Linked DNA regions of Canis lupus familiaris. The protein of the gene in region 1 interacts with the protein of each later gene in a pairwise test. Links are inferred from orthologs where the notes say so. Each region holds a gene or a part of one and is shown on either strand. Other genes may lie near its edges. The genes, in order: C15H1orf109, PPP1R12C and MEOX2.

Region 1 (4,161 bases):
CCCGAGTATCAACTGGTTCTCTCCCTCATCTTCCTTAGGTCTTTTCTCAAATGTCACTATCTCAGTGAGGCCTCTCCTGACTACCATGTTTAAGATCACAGCCCCACCCTCGCCCTTCGCTTGCCCCGTTTCATTTTTCCCCAAGTTCAAAGACAATGAGAACTGACCTGCACTCTATAGTCGTATGCTCTCGTGAAAACTGAAATGAAAAACTTCCTGAGACAGCTCTGGATGCTGTCTGAAACATATTCGCAAAGGATACGCATTTCGATAGTGTCTCTCAATATCCTGCAACCACTCCAACATGTCAGCCACAGAGGGGCTCACCGCTGAAGCCCGCTGGACAGCATCAATGCCAATCGCGTCTGCGTGCTGCTCATAGACCTCAAACACTTGTTCCACGTGCCTGCTGACAACGTCACGCACCTTGAGGAGGGTAGCTCTGGGGGGAAAAGTCTCACATTAGGCAATACCACGAGAGGACCCTAAGGCAGGGGTCCTCAACCTCAGCACATGCACATTTCAATTTGGACGGTCCCTTGTGGTGGAGAGTTGTTGTCCTGTGCGTGTTAGGATGCTGAGCAGTATCCTCGGCCTCTACCCGCTAGATGAGAGGAGCAAACCACGTCAGGACAATCAATCGGGTCTCCAGACACTGCCAAACGTCCCAGTGGGAAAAACTGCTCTGGGTGCACAGAGAGAGACTACTGCAGATAGGAGAAGTTACTTAACGCTCAATCATGTATAAAAATGGTGTTGCTCACTGCACACCCTAAGTGCTCACAACCCTGAGACTGGCACGTAGAATGACAAACACTTGTTCAATGAATGAATGGAGTGAAACGGTTCTTGGGAGGATCAAATGCAATAATGCTTATAAAGTGCTTAGGGAAGTGCCCAGCTCACAGTGAGCATAATAGTAATAATATTCTTATTATTCCAGGGCGTGATCCTGGAGACCTGGGATCGAGTCCCACATCAGGCCCCCTGCATGGAGCCTGCTTCTCCCTCCGCCTGTGTCTCTGCCTCTCTCTTTGTGTGTCTCATGGATAAATAAATAAAATCTTAAAAAAAGGGGTATCCCTGGGAGGCTCAGTGGTTTAGTGCCTGCCTTCGGCCCAGGTCGTGACCCTGGAGTCCCGGGATCGAGTCCCACGTCGGGCTCCCGGCATGGAGCCTGCTTCTCCCTCTGCCTGTGTCTCTACCTCTCTTTCTCTATGTCTATCATAAATAAATGAATAAATCTTTAAAAAAAATCTTAAAAAAAAAAAACTCTCTCTCTTCTAATCTACAAAGAAACCAAGCCTGGTTCATTGCTATATTCCCACCACCTTGTGCGTGGCTTAATTACAGGTGCTCAGCTCTCTTGTACAAATGACTACAAAGAAGATCCCTGTACTCGACCTGTTCCCGTTAGCCTAGGGCACAGACCGTATACACTGGACACTTATTTTGCTCTAGTCGAGAAAAGGCCTATCCGCGCGGGGTGCCTTTGTCAGGGATGCATTCCCTTGCGATTCTGGCTCAGGTCATGTTGTCATGACGGATCGTGACATGGGAGCCCTGCATGGGGCTCTGCGCCCAGCTGGGAGTCTCCTTGAAATGCTCTCTCTCCCTCTGCCCCTTTCCCCACTTATCCCCTCTCTCTAAAAGGGAAGGGAAGGGAAGAAGGAAGGGAAGGGAGGAAGGAAGGAAAGTAAGGAAGGGAAGGGAAGGAAGGGAAGGAAGGGAAGGGAAGGGAGGAAGTGAGGGAGGAAGGAAAGGAAGGGAAGGGAGGAAGGAAGGGAGGAAGGGAAGGAAGGAGGGCAGACTGCACACTGAGTGCAGAGCCCCAGCGCCGGGCTTGACCTCACCACCTGAGAGCACGACCTGAGCCAAAACCACAGAGCCCAAAGCCCGACTGACCACGCCAGCCAGGTGCCCCTGTAAAACGACTTTGTGACAAGAGGTCCCATTGCGGGGAACCCCCGGGTGGCTCAGCGGGTGAGCATCTGCCTGCAGCCCAGGGCGTGACCCTAGAGACCCAGGATAGAGTCCCACGTCGGGCTCCCTGCGTGGAGCCTGCATCTCCCTCTGCCTGCGTCCCATGCATAAAATCAATCAATCAATCAATCAATCAATAAATCCCATTGCAACAAATGGAGAAGAGGCGAGGCTGCGACACCTCCTTCCCTTCCAGGGAAGGGGAAACCCCCTCTCCGACTGATCCTAGCTGCTTAGGGAGCCCCCGCGTCTCCACCCTCCCGCGCGGAGCTCTTCTTACAGCGTCTCCCCTAGCTTGTCCAACACGTCGTCGCCAGCCTCCAGCTGCTTGCGCCGCAGCCGCTCCCGCAGGCCCGGGAAGGCCCGAAGCGGGGGCGCGTCGTCCAGCCGCGCGACCTGAGCCGCCTGCAGCTGCTCCGCCAGGCTGCCGAGCGCGGCCAGCAGGGGCTGGCAGTCCCCGAGCGCGCCCCGCCAGCGGCGCTGCTGCTCCTGCACGGCGGGGAAGCAGCCCCTCAGGGCCTCCCGCACGGCGAGCAGAGGCTGGTCCTGCGCCATCACCTGCCGGACAAGCCCAGGCCGGCGGGCAGCGCCAGGCGGCCCAGGTGCGAGGGTTCCCGTGCGCAAGCGCCGTGTACCCCCTCCGACCCGGGGGCGGCCCCGCTTTCAGGTCGCAGCGCTGTCCCGAAACCCGGGCCTTGAGCCCGAGTTCTGTCTCCTCCCCTGGCAGCTCCGGTCGCCTTCCCCGAACCGGCGGGAGCCCTGGAAGCCCGCGGCGGCTAAGCGGGGGCGCCCACCGGGGCACCCACGCCCGGCGCTCCCTCGCCGCCTCTCCGCGCATGCTCCAGCGCGGCCGCCGCGGCGCAAACGGAGGTCGCAACGCGCGATGCCTTCTGGGGGCTGTAGTCCTACGGGCGGAGCGTCCTTGTGATTGGATGTTGCGGGAGCCTCCCAAGACGGCGACTTCTGATTCGTCAGCCGGTGGCGGTTTGAATTCGGCGGCGGCGGCTGCACGTCGGGTTCTGCAAGGAGCTGCTCCGTCCTTGCGGCTGCGGAGGCGGGGGTTCTCTTGGACGCTTTCGGCGACCCGCATGTACGTGCCCCGCGCCTCGTTTAAGCTCGGGCCTCCCCGGGGCAGCCTGTGCCCCCCGCTCGCCCCTTAGGGCGCCCGCCCGGCCTCTCCCGCGACCTCGGCCGCTGACCGCCCCCCCCCCCCACGCCCCGGGGGCGCCCGCAGCCTCCACCCAAGCGCCATGGCTCCGGCTAGGAAGGGCGGCAGTCGGGTGGCCAAGACCAGCTCCTTGCGGAGCCGGAAGCTCGCCTCCTTTCTTCGGGACTTCGACCGGGAAGGTAGGGGGCGCAGCCGGGGTGCGGGCGGGGTGGGGTGCGGGGCCCCGGGCCCCGGTTCACCCGCCCGTGTGCCCTGCCCGCAGTGCAAATACGGTCCAAGCAGATCCAGTCGGACACACAGAACCTCCTCAAGGAGATGGACAACCTGTACAACATCGAGATCCTGCGGCTCCCCAAGGCGCTGCGCGAGATGAACTGGCTCGACTACTTCGGTAAGAGCCGCTCGCGTCCCCAGGCCTCGGCCGGCGGTGATCACCCCCGCCCCCCGCCCCCCTGCGCTGCTTATTGCACTTCCCTGCTTCACCTGTCTGCACAGGACTCTGACGTCATCTGCCCCGCAGGTAGGCAGGCAGGCAGGCAGGCAGGCAGGCAGGCATCCATCCCCTCTAAAGGACCCCATACTGAATTCTTGAAGCTTTGCAGCTACTCAATTCAAGCTGTTCTAGGCCCAAAACTGCTGGATTGAACAGGTGCATGTATGTGTTCCAGGAAAACGTTACTTAGGGACGCACAGAAATGTGAAATTTGTGTGCATTTTTTGTGTCACAAAACGCTCTCTCTCACTTGCTCGCTCTCTCTCTCTTTTTTTTTTTTTTTTGGATAGTTTATCCAGTCGCTTAAAAACGGATACCTGAATAACTTGGTTCGTTAACCAGAGCTCAGATGGTTGGAGAACCCTAAGCCGTACTTTCTGCATCTCATGGAAACCGTCAGTTAAAAAAAAAAAAAGGGCAAATCAGATTGTGAAGCGCAAGGACTCAAGTTTTTCTGGCCAGCAGAAAACTGCAGCCTGTTCTCTGGCCCCCATGTTAAATGCCCAAGGACATGCGA
Region 2 (3,645 bases), on another chromosome or scaffold:
AGAAGCAGCTGTATAAATACGGGTACAGGGAAGGTTCTCCTCCAGAGTCACTTAGAGAGTTTGCTGATAACACGGATCAGGGCTGCGTTCTCATCCTTGAGCCTCTGGTTGTCAGCCCGGAGGTCGGACAGGGCCTGTGGGATGGGATGGGTCACAGCAGGGTGGCCCTGGGCCAGTGGAACCCACTGTGCACAGCACCCCCTAATTCCTCACCTTTAGCTCCTCCTCAAGCTCAGCTGCCTTTCTCTCCAGGGCCCTGCGCTCCTGGAATAAATAGGAGAGGTGAAGCCCAGGGTCTGGGGTTCAGGGAGGGCCAGCGGTCAAAATAGGATGAGAAGGGTAGGGGGTCACCGTGCCCTCCTTCAGACCCACATGGGTTTGTAAGGCTGGTGACACATCTGGCCCCCACCCCAGCTGCCTCCACTCACGAATCTCTCCAGCTCCAGAAGGGCCGGTCTCTCTGCAAAGCGCTCCTGCCTCTGGTGAGAACAGAGAAAGCACAAGGCTCAGACATCCCAACCACAAAGACCAGGGGGGAAATCAGCATGGGAGAGGGACAGCAGTCCAGGCTCCTGGAGGGCTGGGTCCCTCATCATCAGCCCTGATCCCAAGGGTCCCAGCCCTGCCCCCGCAGCCCGCCTCCCCCATCCCCCCTTGCTCTTGCTCCCCTGGGCATCCCTCATCATTCAGCCCCACCCCGCCACCCTGCCCACCTCCAAGACCTCAGCACCTCACCTGCGTGGCTCGCTCTAGCTCCACCTTGAGCTGTGCCAGGCGCAGCGTAGTCTCAGTCAGAGCCTCACGAAGCCTCTCATTCTCACTGCGCAGCTCTGAGTACAGCTGAAGGACCAGCAGGAGGGGGACAGGGTCAGGCCTGCCAGTCCCACACAGCTCAGCGAGGCCACTGAATAGCAGGGTGCAGGGAGGTGGCAGGCTAAGCCACAGAGAAAGGGCGGTAGGGCAGGTGGACAGAGGCTGACAGTTGGGGCAGGGGACTGCGAACCTTTCTGAAGCCTCCATCAGGCTCTTCCGATTCTGGCTCGGGGTCCTGCACCCTGCGAGGTGAGGGGCCGCCCTCGGAAGTGCTGGGTGGAGGCGGGCAGGGCATCAATGGGGCTCCCTGCGGCCCTACAGACAAACCCAAACCCTTCCCTGCCCACCCTGTACCTGGACTCTGGGCTGCGGTCGGCCGGCTCCGCCTCCTCCCCCTGCGGGCGGAGGTGGGGTTCAGCCTGATGCCGGGAGGGGAGTCTGGCCCACCACCCTGCCGTCAAGGCCCACCCATAGCCCAGCTCACCCCGCCTGGGCCTTCCCACTCACCTCTGCAGGCCCCCTCCACTCCTTGCCGAATTTGCGGTGCTCCCTGGCGGCCTGTGGTCCCTGACCCTGCCCATCAGGCACCTCTGCTGGGGGGAGGGGCAGGAATCAGCCCCGAAACCTGTGGAGGGGCCCCTCCCTGCCCTGTCAGGGTCCCTAGCCTGACCCCCCAAGAAAACAGCACAGCAGGATAGATGGGGAGGGGAGCGGGCAGGAGCCACCTCCCAGACACCAGACCTCACCTCTCCGGGCAGGGCCTTCAGAATTCTCCACCCCAGGGATGCGGGGACGACGAGATGGGTCCTAGGGGACAGGGGCAAGGAGGTCAGAATGGTCAGAGGACATGGGGTCTTATACCACCCACTACCTGCTCATCTGACCCCTCTCACCAGGCTCTGCAGGCATGACTTCTCTGGCTCTGGGGCCTTCCCTGCTACCTTCTCGGCTTCCTTCAGGTCAGTCAGAGTCACACCCTGGCAGAGTGGGAGCAGTCAGGGGTCCTCGAGCTCAGGGCTAGCCCCTTAGGTCCCAAGTCCAGGCCCCCAGGTCCTCCTCCCTTAGACCAGGGAGTCCTGGTCCCCAGCCCCTCCTTCCCAGGACCCACAAGAATTCAGGCCCCCAACCCCCTTTCCCAGGACCCAGGAGCCCAGTGCCCCAGCCCACCCCCACACCTGTGTGGACCTCCGAGACTGGCGCATGAGGCGGGAGCGAGCTTTCCTCTGGGATTCAGACTCCTCATCCCGCACAGGCATCTGATAGGACCTGAGTGAAAGGTCCCAACTTCAGGGAGGGTTCCTTTGCAGCCCGTTCCTGTCCCACCCACGCTGACACCCTTCAGGGAAGGTAAGTTCTGTCAGAGGACTTCCAACTCACAGCAACCCTGGGACAAACCCCGTAGGGAGCCCGAGACCCTGGGGACACAGCCCTGGGCCAGCTAGGTTTTCCCAGCGGGCGCGAAAGAGGCTTCCCACCCCCTGCCTCTTCACCTCCGCCTATCCTGGGAATCAGCTGGGGGCGCTATGGAGGCTACAGGGACATTTGGCTTCACTGGGGATTCAGACTCCGGAATCCTGGAGGGAGGAGTGGAGTGATCCAGAGGAGGACGCCTGGAGATCTCAAACCTGTGTGAATTCATTCATCCAGCAAATATTATTACTTAAGCTTGAGTTACATGGCAGGTGCTAGAGATACAGACAGCAGTGAGCAAAAGATGAAAATCATCTCTGCCCCAATGAGTCAAACATGAACAGAAAAGAGGCAGAACAAACAATAAGCATAAAAAACCCTCATATGTCATCTCAGACCCTCATCATGTCATGCCAGAAGGCCAAAGTACTTTGAAGCAAGGAAACAGAAGGGGTGGGAGGTGGGAGAGTATGTGTGTGCAGACACTGCAGTAGCATGAGCAGGTGGTCAGAGCGGGCCTCACAAGGACCTGAGCAGGGAGTGGAAGCAAGCTGGGGAGTTGCAGAGCAAAGGCCCTGGGGCAGGAGTCAGAAAGGGATGGGGTGAGAGACACAGACAACAGGAGGTCATGTCACTGTGACCCTGGAAGCTTAACTCTGAGCTTTTACTTGATGTACCAGAGGACAACTGAGGCAAAGAGCAGCCAAGGGCAGAGATCCCAGAGAGCAAAGGGACTTGCTCAGGATCATACAGCCCCTACCCCGACAGGCCCAGGCCCTTCCTTGGCACTCACAGGGCAGAGGATTCCAGCACCTTACGGGAGGGTGTAGGCGTGATTCTGGCAAGACGGGGCTCCTTGGCCTGTGTAAAGAGAGAACGGAGAGAACATTCTCCTCGAACAGGCAGGGCTCGGTCCCCTGCCCCTCACTCCACTCACCTGAATGGAGGTCCCTTCCAGCCAAGAGGAGGAAGCTGAGCGCTGTAGCCCCACCCCAGGGGTGCCCTCAGCCTCCCGTCTGTCTGTGGGACCCAGGGTACTAGAGCTCCCCATCTTCTGGAGGCCAAAGCGCCTGGCGAAGGGAGCCTCCTCTGAGGGCTGTGGAAGAGCAAGGTCTTGGCTATAGAGAAAAGATCCTTCCAGAGGCTTCCTGTGTTACCCCAGAAGGACCACAAAAACCACAATTCCCACCAACCTCTGGAGGGTGGAGCCAGAAAAAAACAGTCAATGGCTCTGGAGACTCTAGAAACTAACCTTGACCCTACATGCCCTGAGAAGAGGGTTGCACAGTTGATGGTATCAACTCCCCCTCCCAAAACAGCATGACCATCCAGAACATCCAGACTCACCTTGGGGCTCTGAGGGCTAGAGGGTGGCGGGGAAGACACTCCATTGAGAGTTCTGGATTCTGGAAAGGGTGGCTT
Region 3 (3,645 bases), on another chromosome or scaffold:
TTCTAGCATCTAGCTCAACAAATATTTGTGCTACAAAATAATTAATTCACTATGCCTTGAATGGCAAAAAGTTTTCCTTCCTCTGATTGACAGTTGTGTTTTTCAGTTTATGCTAGAAATTCTTTCATATTCATTATAACACATAAACCTGAGTAGAAGCAAGAGAAGTTAGCTTTAATTTCCATTTTGTGACTTAGGGAGATTGTTACTTGCCTAAGAATCCAAATTCCAATGGAAAATCTAGTTGTTCTATTCAAATTTTTATCATAATAATTCAATTTTTCTCACTGTCACATAGTGGCCCTCTGAAGACTTAACTTTGACTAGGAATTTAGATTCCACATGTATGCATCTCCTTTTCATATTAATCTGAAAAACTGGAAATAAAGATTTATAGGATAAAAAAATCTTCACGATATAAAATTTCAATTCTTTCAAAATCCAATTATATCTCAAGATTTGTTTGTTTGTTTTTTCCCCTATGACACTATAGTTAGATCATTTCGGTAACGGCCTCCAGCAAATGTCACCTTCCTTCCATATATCCATTCCTTAAATGGTCTCCTTCTACATTGACACTGTGCTTGGTCATATGACTTGCTTTAGACAATGAGTCATCAGTAAATATGAGATAACGAGAGTCCTTGAAAGCCTTGGTCCATTGGAGTTTTTCTTCTATTCCTGACAATGCTTCTATCCCCATTTGAAAAGTCTCAGAGAGCCTATTAGAAGAAAATGAAACCACATACAACAGAGACAAATGTCCCAGCTGAGACTATTTAAACCAACCAGCTCTTCAAACCCAAACCCGCCACGTGACTACAGCTCTATGGGAGATTTAGGTAAGGTAAGCAGCTTAACCATCCAACTGAGCCCAGTCAAAATCCCCGACCCACAAAACTGTGAGCAAATTGAATGTCGGTTATTAGTTGAAACCACTATGATTTTTGAATGTTTGTTACATAGTCAAGGCTAACTGATAACAAAATTGAAAAGGGACCTTTGATAAACAAAAACAAAGATTAGAATTGTATGTGTGTGTATTTTGCTTAAAATTACATATCATCCTTTTCCATAAATGACAACTCAGGAAGACATATCCAAAATACCTAAAAAATTGCCAGACCAAATTTATAGAATTGCTTTTCTAAAAGAAATTATTTTAAACCATAAGGGAAACTTCTGCTTTATAATCAGATAATCACAGGTAACCAAAGCCATCCCCAGAATAGCAAGCACAGAATCTTCACATTCCCTCTTGGCTAAGAGTATAGTACTGCATCCCATTATTTCTATAGCTTGGAAACAAGTCTTAGCTTGTTTCCTTTTTGTACCATAGAAAACATGGTTGCATTTCCTAGAATTCACTGTCTATGGATAAGAACATTAAAATATGTAATTCTTTCCCTCCCTTCTTTTTTTATCTGCTCCCAGTTTAAAAAAAATGAAAATAAAACAGATGTCCAATAATGTAGATTTTGGATTCTCCTTTCCAGCATGCCAAATGTTGTACACTTATGGAGAGGAGTTTGTCTGTGAAGTTCAAGGGAAAGAAAATGTTGTGCTTCACAACTTAGGCACTAGTCATAATATTTAATAAAATATAAACTGCCAATAAATAAAACCACATAAAAGTGTCTCTCTCTATATTCCCAATCCCCAGAAATACCCTACAAAAGCTGAAATCCAGAAATTAACAGAAGGAAAGCAGATGATTTAAGAAACTGGATAAAATAACTTGCTCTCCTAAGATAGTATTCATACGTCCACACCCTGTTGGTATTTCTTTGGTTCTGATGGGATCCCTGGAGGAGGTGCATACAGTGAAAGGAAATGAGACTCTAGTCCTAGGAGTGCCAATCATAACTGCACTGTCCATAAAGATGTTTGGATTTGCCTTTCAGGAATGTTTTCCTAAAGATTAGCAACTGTTAACCATCAGTAAGCTAGATTCTCCCAGGGCAAATCAGAATCCATAAAAAGAATGCACTGGGAGCACTACTGGAGCAAGTAAAATCCAAGAAAGGACCTTTTAGGTTTTATCAACTGGAGTCCACAGATCGTTCATAATTGCAAAGTGTTCTCTAAATGAGTCAATGTCAGAAATTTAAATTTTTGAGACCAATATCAGTTCAAAAATATTTGGGAAATATTTACGAAAGACCTATGGGCCCTTGCTCCCATCATTTCCCAGCCCCCCTTGAACTTAAGTGGCACCACGGATGATTTCCGGACCTTGGAGTATAAATGGAAGTGACATGGGTCATTTCCGGGTGAAAACATTTAAAGGTCAGTGCATGAACCTCCACCTCTTTCTTACCTCCTGTGGTTACCAAGGACACCACATGTTGAGATGCCAGAGAGTCAGCCTGGGTCCGTGAGTGACTGATTGTTTATAATGCTGAACTTGTAAAGTTAGTATGGAGAGTGAGCAAATAGTGAACTTTTTTGTTATGTCATGGAGGTCCGGGGGTTAATGTGTTACAGCAACATAGCAAACCCTGTCCTGAGCAATAGAGGAAACTAATATGGGGTTGCTGGCTTTCTATTATACCAAAATAAGGAGATTTTAAAATATAAGCAAAAAAGAATTGCTCACTATATGCCATCATTATATACAAGAAATACTATTTTAAACCAAAATATATAGGAAGGACACAAATACAGAATAAAGAATGATACCTTAAACTGAATAAATGTAGTTTTCCTTAAAAACACTGCTATCTTATCCTTAATTTTGCCATTTTGCCGTGCCAAAACTTCATCATGGAACAGAACACCTATCTTACAAATGGCATTTAAGAACCACAGATCTAGATATTTCAAAAATGGCGAGAGAAGATTGTTGACTCAACACAATTAAAAATACCATATCACAACAATGTCCAACTTTACCTGTCTTTCAGTGAGATCCAGATTCACTGCTATCTCATATCGCCTCAGTCTGGTCAGATAATTATGATGGGCAAATTCTGCTTCAAGTTCTCTGATTTGCTCTTTGGTAAAAGCTGTCCTTTCCTTCCTGGGTTTGCTATTGACTTCTGACTTGTAATTTCCTTCCTGGGAATCTGGGGGGAATGTAAGAGAGAATTAAATTGACTTTATTCATTCAAATGCATACAATCATATCATTCATACCAGAAGCATTTACTGAATAACTACTTTTTCAGGTACTATGTTAGATATGGAGAAACAGAGAGCAAAGACAGAAGACTGATCTCACAACAGGATAAGATACATTTCTTACTTTTTCGATCTGCTCTCCTGTGACTCAGCCTAATTGGCAAAGTGTCTAATATTCTTTCAAAATATGAACAAAAAATGTATTTGCTCTTAATATGATAAAAAGATAAATAAATAAACCACCTCTAGAAAACAATTTCGGATGTAAAATTGCGTTTAATAAGTTGTTTAATATGTATACTTGGGATCTAGGTATGATTGAACTCTTTAATTCCTAAGAAAAAAAGTGTTGACTTAATATGTGAATATTTAAGCAATTTGAATGTTTAGCAACTGGACCATAAAAGTCAGTTCAAGGTCAGACAAAGCATACATAAAAGTGTGTGTGTATTTACTGACTTTTTAATTTCTATTTAAGTTTAGTCTCTTTGAGGGCAATAGCAATTCTATTCTCTTATTTTA

The links.
Region 2: the proteins of C15H1orf109 (region 1) and PPP1R12C interact in binary tests that used the Homo sapiens proteins (3 or more experiments, as listed by UniProt). The two-hybrid records come from large-scale screens. The link is inferred for Canis lupus familiaris from reciprocal best matches to the Homo sapiens genes AIRIM and PPP1R12C.
Region 3: the proteins of C15H1orf109 (region 1) and MEOX2 interact in binary tests that used the Homo sapiens proteins (3 or more experiments, as listed by UniProt). The two-hybrid records come from large-scale screens. The link is inferred for Canis lupus familiaris from reciprocal best matches to the Homo sapiens genes AIRIM and MEOX2.

The regions. Positions count from the first base shown.
Region 1 is NC_049236.1:4,885,484-4,889,644, reverse strand, and holds the start of C15H1orf109 (uncharacterized protein C1orf109 homolog), read right to left. Parts: upstream 2,828-4,161; 5' UTR 2,539-2,827; coding exon 2,264-2,538; intron 443-2,263; coding exon 263-442; intron 1-262. Other genes in the region: CDCA8 (borealin), read left to right, coding at 3,234-3,330, 3,414-3,542. UniProt on the Homo sapiens protein: Part of the 55LCC heterohexameric ATPase complex which is chromatin-associated and promotes replisome proteostasis to maintain replication fork progression and genome stability.
Region 2 is NC_049222.1:103,278,228-103,281,872, reverse strand, and holds part of PPP1R12C (protein phosphatase 1 regulatory subunit 12C), read right to left. Parts: intron 3,630-3,645; coding exon 3,571-3,629; intron 3,320-3,570; coding exon 3,161-3,319; intron 3,085-3,160; coding exon 3,017-3,084; intron 2,439-3,016; coding exon 2,304-2,438; intron 2,080-2,303; coding exon 1,989-2,079; intron 1,791-1,988; coding exon 1,707-1,790; intron 1,621-1,706; coding exon 1,560-1,620; intron 1,407-1,559; coding exon 1,321-1,406; intron 1,209-1,320; coding exon 1,168-1,208; intron 1,086-1,167; coding exon 1,004-1,085; intron 841-1,003; coding exon 736-840; intron 480-735; coding exon 429-479; intron 265-428; coding exon 214-264; intron 135-213; coding exon of another isoform or gene 48-134; exon of another isoform or gene 1-47. UniProt on the Homo sapiens protein: Regulates myosin phosphatase activity.
Region 3 is NC_049235.1:30,321,133-30,324,777, forward strand, and holds part of MEOX2 (homeobox protein MOX-2), read right to left. Parts: intron 3,069-3,645; coding exon 2,896-3,068; intron 1-2,895. UniProt on the Homo sapiens protein: Mesodermal transcription factor that plays a key role in somitogenesis and somitogenesis and limb muscle differentiation. Required during limb development for normal appendicular muscle formation and for the normal regulation of myogenic genes.